Stegostoma tigrinum: one gene and its partner. The protein of the gene in region 2 purifies or fractionates together with the protein of the main gene of each other region. This does not show direct contact. Links are inferred from orthologs where the notes say so. Each region holds a gene or a part of one and is shown on either strand. Other genes may lie near its edges.

The links. The genes of interacting proteins can lie anywhere in the genome.
Region 1: the proteins of adra1d (region 2) and sntb2 purify together in Homo sapiens (tandem affinity purification; 4 studies listed by BioGRID and IntAct, with this or other methods). This does not show direct contact. The link is inferred for Stegostoma tigrinum from reciprocal best matches to the Homo sapiens genes ADRA1D and SNTB2.

Annotation. Positions count from the first base shown.
Region 1 is NC_081369.1:67,641,068-67,648,074, reverse strand, and holds the start of sntb2 (beta-2-syntrophin), read right to left. Parts: upstream 3,059-7,007; 5' UTR 3,036-3,058; coding exon 2,495-3,035; intron 1-2,494. UniProt on the Homo sapiens protein: Adapter protein that binds to and probably organizes the subcellular localization of a variety of membrane proteins. May link various receptors to the actin cytoskeleton and the dystrophin glycoprotein complex.
Region 2 is NC_081354.1:171,210,470-171,217,609, forward strand, and holds the start of adra1d (alpha-1D adrenergic receptor), read right to left. Parts: upstream 3,007-7,140; 5' UTR 2,573-3,006; coding exon 1,639-2,572; intron 1-1,638. UniProt on the Homo sapiens protein: This alpha-adrenergic receptor mediates its effect through the influx of extracellular calcium.

The sequences.
Region 1 (7,007 bases), on a different chromosome or scaffold from region 2:
CTGGGCAGCATTTAGTGCTCATCCCTAATTGCCCGGAGGGCAGTTCAGAGTCAACCACATTGCTGTAGTTCTGGAGTCACATACAGGTCAGACCAGCGGCTTCAATGACCTTCCCTCCATCATAAGGTCAAAAGTGGGGATATGTGCAGCACCATTCGTGACTTCTTAGATACCGAAGCAGTCCATGTTCATATGCAACAAGACCCCGGCAATATACAGGTTTGGGCTATCAAGGGGCAAGTGACATTCGTGCCACCCAAATGCCAGGCTATGTCCATCACCAATAAGACAATCTAACCACCATCCTTTAATATTCATTGGTGGTACCATCACTGAATCCCCCACTATCAACATCCTGGGGATTATCATTGATCAGAAACTCAACTAGACTCACCACAATAACGGTGGCTACAAGAGCAGGTCAGAATCTAGGAACATTGTGACAAGCAACTCACCTCCTGACTCCTCAAAGCCTGTCCACCATCTACAAGGCACAAGTCAGGAGTGTGATGGACTACTCCCCACTTGCCTGGATGAATGCAGTCCCAACAACACTCAAGAAGCTTGACACCACCCAGAACAAAGCAGCCCACTTGACTGGCACTACATCCAAAAGCATTCACTCCCTCCACCACCATCACTCAGTAGCAGCAGCGTATAGTATCTACAAAATGCACTGCAGAAATTCACCAAAGATTCTCAGACAGCACCTTCCAAACCTACAACCACTTCCATTTTGAAGGACAAGGGCAGCACACATATGGGAACATCACCACCTCCAAGTTACCCACCATCCTGACTTGGAAATATATTGCTGTTCCTTCACTGTTGCTGGGTCAAAATCCTGGAATTCCCTCCCTAGTCGGATTGTGGGTCAACCCACAGCAGGAGGACTGCAACAGCTCAAGAAGACAGCTCACCCCCATCTTCTTAAGGGCAACTAGGGATGGACAAGAAATGCTGGCCAGCCAGCGATGCTCACATCCAACAGATGAATAGGAATAAATATGGTAAAGATTGCAGTTTCCTTCCCTAAAAGGTCAGTGAACCATTTGGGTTTTTCAAACAATCAACAATGGATTCATAGTAATCATTAGATTCTTAATTCCAGATATTTTACTGAATTCAAATTCCACCGTCTGCCTTGGCATGAATCAAACCAAGGTCCTCAGAATGATTAGATTAGATTACCTACAGTGTGGAAACAGGCCCTTTGGCGCAACAGGTCCACATTGCCCCTTGAAGCATCCCACCCAGACCCATCCCCGTATAACCCACACGCCCCTGAACACTACTGGTAATTTCTCATGGCCAATCGAACTAGCCTGCACGTCTTTGGACTGTGGAAATCGGAGCACCCAGACGAAACCCACGCAGACACAGGGAGAATATGCAAACTCCACACAGACAGTCGCCCGAGGCTGGAATCGAACCCGGGTCCCTGGTGCTGGGAGGCTGCAGTGCTAACCACTGAGCCACCGTGCCACCCTAAATGCTATTAGGTCTCTGAACAAACAGTCCAGTGATAATACCACCAGATCATCACCTCCCTGATAACTGCATTAGCATTCTTGTCACTGCATTATCTCCAAACTATTAATGCAGAAACAGAGGTAATGGCCTAGGGAACATTTATGTTTGAATGCTGCCTGCCAAATTGTGACTTTCGAAAACAACAGAAATCTAGAATTAAGAATCTAACAATGAATCTAAAACTAAAGGTTACTGTTTAAAACTGTCACACATTTAAAACAGATGCAGTGAATTTTTTTGCTGGTGGAACATCTCAAGTCTTTGGAACTCCCATATTGAAAAAGTGAAGAAAGTCAAGTCGTTGAACACAATTAAAACTGGTAACAGATAGATTCTTTTCAGCCAGGGGATGATAGGTTAACAGGCCTGGGGAGAATATCGATTTAAGGTTACCGTCAGATCAGCTATGATCTTATGAATGGAAGAGCAGAGTCAAGGAGTTGAATAGCCTAATCCTGCTCCTAGTTTGTATGTAAAGGATTAGGATGGTAGATTTAGATTTTAAAAAGACAGAAGCAGCTCAAATGGAGTATCTTTAGCACCTCCTGGTTGGTTGTATTTGTGTTTTATGTAATACATTTCTACCTGTTGGATCCTTAGGATATTCTAATCACTTACTGTTAACCACTTGCCCTTCAGGTGGATACACAATGTTCACAAACTCTACGTGTACTAGGCCTACACTGATGAAGTTAAACTCGAGGAGAACTCGGCTCCCATCGGAATCTGTACAATGTGAACCAGTCCAGAAACCAGCAGAGAAACAACATGGCAAGTATTCATTAGACGCACATCTCTCTCTATACATCTCTTTCAATGAAGATTTCAACATCGAAATTATCCGTTTACAATTTGTGGAAGAGGAATCCCCGGACCATTCTCTCCCCGGGGGAGGGGGGGTACGCTCCCTCCTCACCCGAACCTCGAAGATCGGGTCGCTCTCCCCTTAGCCCCCGCTCACCCTCCAGGGTCACCTCCCTTCCAGCCTTCTTCAGGGCCTGTACGGCCTGGTCATGTGTCGCCTCCCGGAGGTCAGCTCCGTTCACCGCAAGGATGGCATCTCCCACGTAAAGGGCGCCGGTACGTTCGGCCGCTAAGCCCCGGAAAATCTTGGAGATGAGGATGGGCATTCGGTTCTCGCGGCCGCCCTTGATGCTGATGCCGAGGCCACCGGCTTCCTGTTTCACAACCCTCACGGTACGGACCCGATCGGCCAGCCCTGGACCCGGTTTCGGGCTGCTGGCCTCCCGGGGCAGCACAACCGCGGCACCTCGACCCGGACTCCCAGATCCAGGCCCCGCCGGGCTCATATGTACTGGAGTCGGGCTGGAGCTCCGCGGCCGCGGGGATCCGTTGGAGAGACCATCCCAGACCCCAGGCTCCAAGTCCTCGCTGGTCAGCTTCAGGCTATCTGCTCGCAGCTCAGCCCCGACCCGAAGCCACCCGCGGTCCCGGAGAAAAAGCTCGAGCGGCCCGGCCCGAACCGAGAGCCCGGCCGCCATCGCCCGCCAACCCAACAGCCTATGGGAACACGGCACTGGACAACCAATGGGACTAGTGCAATGGCCAGCCAATAATAGCACATCTTCAGGGGGCGACCGTCGGGAAATTGGCAACGGCCGGCCAATGGGAATAGTGCAATAGCCAGCCAATGGGCTCGAGATCCTGGAGGCTACCAATAGAAATCGCGCAACGGCCAGCCAATGGGAGCAAGGTCCTCCGTGGAGGCCAATGGGAATAATGCAATGGCCAGCGAACGGGAAACAAACTAAAGAACTGCAGATAACACAATGTGGCGCTGGACGGACACAGCGGGTCAGGCAGCATCTCAGGAGCAGGAAGGCTGACGTTTCGGGTCTAGACCCTTCATCAGAAAAGGGGGAGGGGGTTCTGAAATGAATAGGGAGAGAGGGGGAGAAAGTTGTTACAGAGATAGTAGGGCCTGACGATGCTGGAGTTCCTGAGATAACACGGTGTGAAAGTGGATGGACACAGCAGGCCAAGCAGCATCAGAGGAGCAGGAAAGCTTGACGTATCAAGTCGGGACCCTTCTTCGGGGGAGGGGGGAGGAGAATCTGAAATAAATAGGGAGACGGGGGAGGCGGATAGAAGATGGATAAAGGAGAAGATTGGGTGAGAGGAGACAGACAAGTTAAAGAAGCGGGGATGAAGCCAGTAAAGGTGTGTCGCTGGCGGGGCGATAGGTCTGTGCAGGGAGGACGGACAGATCAGGGGGGCGGGGGTGAGGCTAAGGTTAGTGGGATGGAGGTGGGGCTTGAGGTGAGAGGAATGGTTGGAAAGGCAGAGACTATAGACAATAGGTGCAGGCGTAGGCCATTCGGCCCTTTGAGCCAGCACCACCATTCATTGTAATCATGGCTGATCATCCACAATCAGTATCCTGTTCCTGCCTTATCCCCATAACCCTTGATTCCACGATCTTTAAGAGTTCTATCCATCTCTTTCTTGAAAGTATCCAGAGAGTTGGCCTCCACAGCCTTCTGGGGCAGAGCATTCCATATACCCACCACTCTCTGGGTGAAGAAGTTTTTCCTCAACTCTGTTTTAAATGGCCTACCTCTTATTTTTAAACTGTGTCCTCTGGTTCTGGACTCACCCATCAGCAGAAACATGCTTCCTGCCCCCAGAGAGTGTCCAATCCCTTAATAATCTTATACGTCTCAATCAGATCCCCTCTCATCCTTCTAAACTCAAGTGTATACAAGCCCAGTCGCTCCAATCTTTTGGACTAGCTGGACTGGTTTTGGCATATGGTTGGGGAAGGGGAGATTTTGAAACTGGTGAAGTCCACATTGATACCATTGGGCTGCAAGGTTCCCAAGCGGAATATGAGTTGCTGTTGCTGCAACCTTTGGGTGGCATCGTTGTGGCACTGCAGGAGGCCCATGATGGACATGTCATCTAAGGAATGGGAGGGGGACTGGAAATGGTATGTGAATGGGACTGCAGGTGCTCCATAAAGTTGTCTCCAAGCCCCACCACCCCTGGCAATTTTCCCTGCAACCCCAGGAAATAGAACATAGAACATTACAGCACAGTACAGGCCCTTCGGTCCTGATGTTGTACTGACCTGTCATACCAATCTGAAGCCCATCTAACCTACACTATTCCATGTACATCCATATCCTTGTCCAATGACGACTTAAATGTACTTAAAGTTGGCGAATCTACTACCGTTGCAGGCAAAGCATTCCATTCCCTTACTACTCTCTGAGTAAAGAAACTACCTCTGACATCTGTCCTATACCTTTCACCCCTCAATTTAAAGCTATGCCCCCTCATGCTCACCATCACCATCCTAGGAAAAAGGCTCTCCCTATCCACCCCTCTGATTATTTTATATGTCTACAATTAAGTCACCTCTCAACCTTCTTCTAACAAAAACAACCTCAAGACCCTCAGCCTTTCCTCATAAGACCTTCCCTCCATACCAGGCAACATCCTAGTAAATCTCCTTTGCACCCTTTCAAAGCTTCCACATCCTTCTTATAATGCAGTGACCAGAACTGTACGCAATACTCCAAGTGCGGCCGCACCAGAGTTTTGTACAGCTGAACCTCTTGTTTCCGGAACTCAATCCTCTATTAATAAACGCTAAAACACTGTATGCCTGGGTGGCGACTTTCAAGGATCTGTGTACATGGACACAGAGATCTCTCTGCTCATCTACACTACTAAGAATCTTACCATTAGCCCAGTACTTTGCATTCCGGTTACTCCTACCAAAGTGTATCACCTCACACTTGTCTGCATTAAACTCCATTTGCCACCTCTCAGCCCAGCTCTGCAGCTTATCTATGTCTCTCTGTAACCTACAACATTCTTCTTCACTATCCACAACTCCACTGACCTTGGTGTCGTCTGCAAATTTACTAACCCATCCTTCTACGCCCTCATCCAGGTCATTTATAAAAATGACGAGAAGCAGTGGACCCAACACCAACCCTTGCGGTACACCATTAGTAACTGGTCTCCAGGGTGAACATTTCCCATCAACCACCATCCTCTGTCTTCTTTCAGCAAGCCAATTTCTGATCCAAACTGCTATATCTCCCATAATTCCATTCCTCCGTATTTTGTACAAAAGCCTATTGCGGGGAACGTTATTGAATGCTTTGCTGAAATCCATATGCACCACATCAACCAGTTTACTCTCATCTACCTGTTTGGTCACCTTCTCAAAGAACGCAATAAGGTTTGTGAGGCATGACCTTCCCTTCACAAAACCATGCTGACTATCCCTAATCAAATTATTCTATTCTAGATGATTATAAATCCTATCCCTTATAACCTTTTCCAACACTTTACCAACAACTGAAGTAAGGCTCACTGGTCTATAATTACCAGGGTTGTCTCTACTCCCCTTCCCGAACAGGGGAACCACATTTGCTATCCTCCAGTCGCCTGGGACTATTCCTGTAGACAATGACGAGTTAAAGATCAATGCCAAAGGCTTGGCAGTCTCCTGCCTGGCTTCCCAGAGGATCCTAGGATATATCCCATCCGGCCCAGGGGACTTATCTGTCTTCACCCTCTGTAGGATTTCTAATACCTCTTCCTTGTGAGCCTCAATCCCACCTAGTCTAGTAGCCTGTATCTCAGTATTCTCGACAACATTGTCGTTTTCTACAGGATGTACTACACCTGCCCCTACACCCCTATCCCAGGTCCCAAGAATACGTTCCACATCAAACATGTTCACCTGCACATCTGCTAATGTGATATACTGTATCCACTTTTCCGATTGTGGCCTCCTCTACAATCGGGGAAACCAAGCAGAGGCTTGGGGACTGCGTTGTGGTGTTTTATCTCAGAGTCTAGCAGCAGCAGTTCCTACTATCTTTGGGTCTGACACAAGAGTCATAGAACTACACAGCCCAGAAACCGACACAACTCGTCCGCGCAGACCAGAGATCCAAAATTCATCTAATCCCATTTGGGAGTATTTGGCCCATATCCCTTCAAACACATTCTGATAATGTACCCATCCAAATGCCCCCATTGGAACAGGATACAATGCTCAACTCATCAACCCAAGATTGGTACCCATGCGGACAGCCTCAACTGGGATCTTGGGTTCATGTTGCACTACAGGTGACCGTAACACACTATACACTCTCACTCCCCCTCAAACACACAGACACATGCTCGATCTCTCTCTAACACCCCGCCCCCCCAACACACACACACACAGATACTCTCTTGCTTGCAATCTTTGTTTAATGCCCCCCCCAACAAACAGATTCTCTCTTGCTTTCACTCTCTCTCTCTCTCTCTCATGTTCCCCACACACAGACACTAACATTGTTCAACTCATTGAACGCCAGTGCCACAGCGAAAAACCGTAATGGCCTCCTTCGAAGACAGACACAGATACATCTGATAGGGTACCCTTCATTGTCCAGCATTTCCTGGGAGTACAGAAACTACACCATCTTCTTCGCAGCCTTCAA
Region 2 (7,140 bases):
TTGATAGGCACTACACCTACTAGCATCCACTTCCTCCACCGCCGAAGCTCAGCAGCAGCAGATGAGTACAAGATACACTGCAGAAAAGATTCACCAAAGAACCTCAGACAGCATCTTCCAAACCCATGGCCACTTCCATCTGGAAGGACAAGGGCAGTAGATACATAGAAACACTACCAACTTGCAAGCTCCCTTCCTAACCTCTCACCATCCTGACTTGGAAATGAATTGCTGTTCCTTGACTTTTGCTGGGTGAAACTCCTGGAATTCCCTCCCTTAAGGCATTACCAGTTAATGCACAGCACATGGACTGCAGAGGTTCAAGGAGGGAGCTCACCACCAACCTCACAAGGGCAACTAGGAATGGGCAGTAAATTCTGGCCAGCCAGTAAAAACCCACATCTCACCAGTGATTAAAACAAAACAATAGAATGCCTAGGTGTGAAGTCCCACTCATAAATTTCTACCAGAAGAGTGGCTCCCATCGGGCTCTAAATTCTGGTTCTGTGCTTCATTCCTATAGATCAGGAATTATGCATTCCCAGTGCATTCTGCCCGCCTGAATTTAATCTGAGCAGCGAGTCTTTGGGAGGAACACAGCATGTCAGGCAGCATCAGAGGAACTGGAGAGTCAACGTTTAGGGCCTAAACCCTCCATCACCCCACCACATCCAGCTCCACACTGCATTGACTCAGACTCCAGCATCTGCAGTTCGTGCTATTCCCGGGATTTTGGCGGGAACGTCAGTTTCTGATTTAAAAAAAAAGACAGTGGAGCATTTTAGTTCTGAGCTGCCCGCAAATGAAACTTGTACCGTGCCACCTTCGAGAGGCGATCACCAGTTAGAATCCAACAGGTCATGAATAAAACTTCGCCCCCACCTCCCCCCATCCCACCTATGGGAAAGTAAAACTCAAAGGATTGATTGGACTGACTGAGCCGTGACCCACCCCGACACTCTTCGATGAAAAGATGGCGAGGCGCCTGAAGCGCTGACTAACCTGCCAGGACGTGATGGGAAATTAGGATGCCTTCCAAATGAAGTCTGTGCCACCGACAGGAGGGTTGGAAGTTTGAAAAGTCGGCATGCGTCATCTGGGTATGAGTGATCTGGATCTCAAAATCAAAACCCGAACACCGTCTCCCTCAGAGTTAGCCGATTTACAGTGAGGTGGGACAAGGAGTGATATGTAATAGTACTGTATTCCTTCGGTTTGCGATGGCACAGCGGCAGTAAACCCAGGTTCGAGTCCCATGTGGTACACAGTGAATCTCTGAACTGCCTAATAGTGGGATAGAGTCAATAGAGGTGAGAACTCACAAGGTTTCAGAATCAGAGAGAGTTGCAACACAGAACCAATGACATTGAGCTACTGAGACCCATGACATGTGATAATATCTGGACTTTGCTGATAATTCTGAAGCGGAGATGGACACACACACACACAAACACAGAGACACATTTACAAGGTTTGTCGACCCTTAACTCTTTAACTCTGATTTCTCTCCGCGGATGCTGCCTGAGCTTTATCCAGCAACATTCTGGTTTATTTTTAGTTGGTTTACACGCAGCTTGACCCTGTTAGAAAGTTCCCCACCCCGTTTTGATCCCGCGCTCTCCCTCACGCTCTACCTACCGAGCGGTAAGATGGTGAAGAAGGGAAGCCAGCAGAGGACGAAGACACCGACCACGATGCCGACGGTCTTGGCCGCTTTCTTCTCGCGGGAGAACTTGAGGAGGCGCATGGACAGTGAACTGCGGAGGGGCGGCGGCGCCTGGCCCCTGGCCCTGAGGGTGGAAGCCGGCTCGTCCCCCGGCCCGGCCGCACTCCGGCAGTGGATCCTCAGCACCAGCTCGGTGCTGTTGCCCCCTCGCTCCCTCTTGACCCCGGCCTCCAGGCTGCGGGTGGTCCTCCGGGCCACCACGTAGATGCGGCAGTACATGGCCAGGATGACGGTGAGGGGCAGGTAGAAAGAGAACAGCGACGAGAAGAGGGCGTAGCCCGGTTCCTCGGTGATGCTGCACAGGGTGTCGTCGGCGGGAGCGGGCTCCTTCCAGCCCAGGAGGGGTCCCACCGAGATGACCAGGGAGGAGAGCCAGAGGAGCAGGAGGATCCAGACCGCTTTCCGCTCGGTCATGATGGCAGGGTAGCGCAGGGAGTAGCGTACGCCGATGTAGCGGTCGATGGAGATGGTGCACAGGCTCATGATGGACGCGGTGCAGCAGAGCACGTCCACGGCCGCCCACACATCGCAGAAGGGCCTCCCGAAAGCCCAGTAGCCGAACACCTCGAGGCTGGCCGAGAACGGCAGGATGGTGGCGCTCAGCAGCAGGTCCGCCACCGCCAGGTTAACGATGAAGTAGTTGGTGACCGTCTGCAGGTGCCGGTTGCACGCCACCGAGAGGATCACCAGAATGTTACCGGCGATGGCGAAGGCGATCAGGGCGCCCAGCACCACCCCCACGGCCACGCCGTCCAGTCCCGCCGCCCCTTCCTCACTCGACCTGTTGCCGGCTCCCCCCGAGCCGTTACCGTCCACACTCCGGTTCGTCCACTCCTCCCAAGTCATCTTAGAGCAGCCAGGCTCTCCATTGGAATGGGATTGTGTGTGTGTGTGTGTGTGTGTGTCGGGGAAGGGGGGGTGGGGGGAAGATTTGGGCAACTTCTTCCCCTGCCCCGCACACCCAAGCTTTGCTCAGGGGATGGGCTCACTCATTCCTCACTGGACTTTAACCCCCTCAAGCCCTCCTGCATCTTCTTCCTTCTCCCATTTACTTCGCGCTGTAACTTTTACTTTCCCCTCTCCCTTTCTGTCTCTCAGCGGCTCACTTTATCCACACAAGCCCAGGTTAAGAAATGTTGCTCCGTCTTTCCACACCCCTTCGGACAGACAGAGAGAGAGAGAAACAAACCGAGAGAGCGGTCAGAAATATCGCCCACGCTGACCACTAACGAAAATCTCTTCAAAGCAGTTGGATGCTGAAGCTTGAAGATCACTTTTCAATCACATTAAACCTCGCCTCCTCGGGATGGTCCCAACGTCACGGGCTCTCTCTCTCTCTCTCTGTGTGTGTATGTGTGTGTGTAGGGGACACTGACAGAGGGCGGCAAAGAGTCGGCTGCTCTACCCCCCCACCCCCCGACCCCTCCAGAGCCAGCCAGCATCCCCAGTTTACTGAAGGAACATTAAAAACTTTTTGATTTCTCCCCATGGATGCTGCCATACCTGTAGTTTTCGCTTTTTAGGCTGAAAACTCCTCTTCTGCACTGATGAAAACTCACGAAAGTCTTGCCCTGTGTAAAAGTAAGGAACCGAAATCTCCATAAATTTTCATATGAGCGCTGTGTCGAATCTCCACGTGAGGATTGGTGCCGGGGCTCGATTGCTGTCTTTTTGTTGAGTTAATTTTTCTAGCGCTTTTTAAAAATTACATTAAAAAATCATTTCTGTTTTTCAATAACAAGCCAGTTTCTCTTCTCTTTTGCCGCTGAACGAATAAAAATTGAAATTGGTATTCCAGATGTCAAGTTGAATCCCTGGAAGGTAAATATTACTGGGCGGAATTACCAGTTCTGTTGTAATAATCCTTTAATATTAACTTTAATTATACGATTACTTTCTGCCAATTTGATTCCATTAAACGCATTGCTTAAACCGGGCTATACGCTTGTGACACGCAGCGACAAAATTTGTTTTGTTTTTAATTCAGTTCAAAAGTGAATGATTCAGTGTCGGAACTCGTTGCTTTCATTAGTCTCGATATAACTAAGACGGCGATTTGCTTAGGAGAGGTGAGGCGGAACTCATCGAAATGTCTCAACTGTTAGCGCACGTTTTGGGGTTTCTGTAGCAACATACATTAATGTAAAATAAATATTCCGACCAAGACATGGTCGAGTAAAACATGGCATTGAACAGACTTGTTTATTTATGTTTTACGCAGGAAGGTTGAAAACAGTCGCCTGACCAGTGTAGAAAATTATCAGAATGGAAAATGTCTGATAATGTTCTGCCCTCTCCTCTAGCTGAGGACCTCTGGCTCTCCTTGCTTCATTCGTTTCTTTAGCTTCTGTGTCGCGCTCTTCTCTCGAGCCCACATCTCTTTCAACCCTTTCTCCATCAATGTCCCCGTCTGTTTTTTTCGTCTTGTTTCTGTACCTCACTCCACTTCACCCCACCACCCCACCTCCTGGTGTCCCCGGCTCCTCTCACGGACTTTTCTCTGATCTTTCCATCCCCAGTTCCCGACTCCTGTTCTATCTTGCCCCCGCCTTGCTGTCGCCTTCCAATCGTCTCTAACTTTGTTCTCTCGGCTGCTTTGCCTGTTATTGTCCTCTTCAACAGCTAACTCTAACTTTCTGACTGAGCGAGCGGACTCGATTTCTTTCATCTCCCCTCCTCCTGCCTCCCGCTCCCTCCTGCCTCCCCCATCCCTCCCTCCTTTCTGCCATCCCTTCCTCCTCTCCTGCTGGATCTATGCCTCCCACCGGAAAGGTCCGGGGAGACTCGAGCCCAGTCATTCCAATTTACAGGGGACCATTATAAGTGTAGTGGGATTTCTGTTCGATAAATAAAGGAGTGGGGGAATTAAAACACACTGTATTGGTAGCTCAAGGTTGCATTATGAATGATTAGCATCGAAGATATCGGTGGTCGCCCAGCGTGACACGGAATTTTATTCTGTCCCGCGTTTGTCTATGAAGCGAATACAAGCGCAGATTCAGATTAGTACACAATTATTGTTCTGAACAAATCGGGGAATTAATCGTTGACTCATAATTCAGGTCAATCTCCTTAGATTCCCAGCATTTGCTGAAGACTGGAATCCATGTTTCCCTGCTCCTTTTATATCTAAGGAGTCCCGTGGCTGAGATTTTACCGAGAACCATTTGAAGGAACAGAAAATCTAAAGCTATTTGCACAGAAGGAGCCAGATTTGTCTCAAAATCTCGCCCCATTCGGTCTGGGAGACCCTGGGGAGACAGTCCCGAAATCAGCCCGATATTAGTGCACCCACACTCAGTGAAGAAGTCACTGATCGACCCGAAAGGTCATCAATGCTGGCCGCTGCTCAGCTCGTCAGTCCGAAAACAAAATCCTCTGCTTGGTCTCCTTAATAATAAAAAAAACCACTCTTTCCCTTGACCCTCGCAGTGTTGTAAATCTCCTCAATATCACAACCCGCGAATCGACCCTTAAAATGTGCGCTGGGAGGACATTAATTCGCGAACACAGTAACATTTCTGAAATCTCATTCCCCCGCCCGGTCTGGATCACAGAAATACCAGAAGTCGCTGATCTGTCCCCGCCTGGAGTGTAAATCCAACAGAAACCAGAAGCGGGCTGTGCCACTCAACTATACACCGCCCCACAGCTAACAGTCTACTGAGCAGAACCGATACAAACAGAATAGATTAGAAAAGAATAGCCTTTATTGTTACTTAGTAGTAAGGGAATGGAACGCTTTGCCTGCAACGGTAGTAGATTCGCCAACTTTAGGTACATTTAAGTCGTCATTGGACAAGCATATGGACGTACATGGAATAGTGTAGGTTAGATGGGCTTGAGATTGGTATGACAGGTCGGCACAACATCGAGGGCCGAAGGGCCTGTACTGTGCTGTAATGTTCTATGTTCTATACAGGAGTACAGTGAAAAGTAAAGTCTCTGCTAAAAGCAGTAACTGTGGACGGAGACAGGCAGCGAGTCATTACAGGAGCTGCAACAGTGCCCGAGGGTGCGGCGGACGTCAGATTTAATCTAGAAGCGAGTGAAGTTGTTATCACCGGAAACCCCAATTGGCAGGTTACACGTGGTGAGATGCCATTTGACAGTTGAAGGCGCGATGGGCCGACTGGGCTCACTCTGGATTCCGACTGTAAAGCGCAAGTTGGGCCGAGACAGAAATGTTAATTCCCTCTGAAGTGGGTGTGTGTTGTAACGATAATAGAGCAATTTCTGGGACAACAGGGAGGGGGATCTGCATCCCTTGGGAATTTTGTTTTACCCTTTCAGTGGCTTTATTCAGTTAAAGGATCGCAAGTCCACCGCAGAATGAATTCAGAGAGCGTGGACCATTCAGCCCAACTCGCCTGTGCTAGGGCTGCTACTCCACAGGTGCCAACTTTAATTTCCTCTGCTTCATCAACCTTTCTCTATATCTAGCTATTCCGTCTTATTCCATCTTCTTGTTTAGTTTACCTCTTAAAGTTTCTAAACAATGTCCCTCAACCACTGATGAGGTCGACATGCCAATCATTCTCTGAGAAAGAGATGCCGTTTTCACCTCCCATTCTTTTGCTAATAGTCCGACATATTTGCATAAAATGGAAACCAGAATCCTGAGTTTGGACTCTGCACAAATTTAACATTGCATCACCAATTTTGAATTGAACACCAGAAGTAACCTCAGTTTTTTTTAGCATTTTTAAACATTGTTTTTCATTTGTAACATTGCTTTCAATTAATCCAGCCCATGGGGACTCTTATTTTCTCATACTGAAGAGATGTTTCTCTTTTGCTTACCCAAATTGCATCACTTCAAAATCATCTATACTAAAGTTCATTCACCATGTAACTTCTTGGTCTGGGAATCGTCTAATACCCTCTTGCATTCTTTTGCTTTCCTGCTCATTGTTCTCACGGTCTGGCATCGTCTGCAATTATTGATCTTGAGGAAGTTGCCCCGAAGTCCAAAGTGTGAAAGTATTTTTTTTAAAAAGTTAATGGGTTGGTCTCAAAGGCAAGGCCAGCATTTGTTGCCCATCTCTAATTGCACTGAACAAGATGGTGATGTCCCCCGCCTTGTGCTGCTGCAGCCGTTGGGGTATAGGGAGCCTGCTGTGGTGTTAGGAAGGGAGTTCCAGGATTTTGATGCAGCACCAGTGAAGGAACAGCAATGTGGTTCCAGAGATAATGGATGCTGGAGAATCCAAGATAACAAAGTGTGGAGCTGGATGAACACAGCAGGCCAAGCAGCATCTCAGGAGCACAAAAGCTGACGTTTTGGGCCTAGACCCTTCATCTGATGAATGGTCTCGGCCCAAAATGTCAGCTTTTGTGCTCCTGAGATGCTGCTTGGCTGCTGTGTTCATCCAGCTCCACACTTTGTGAGCAATGTGGCTCCATTTGACTTA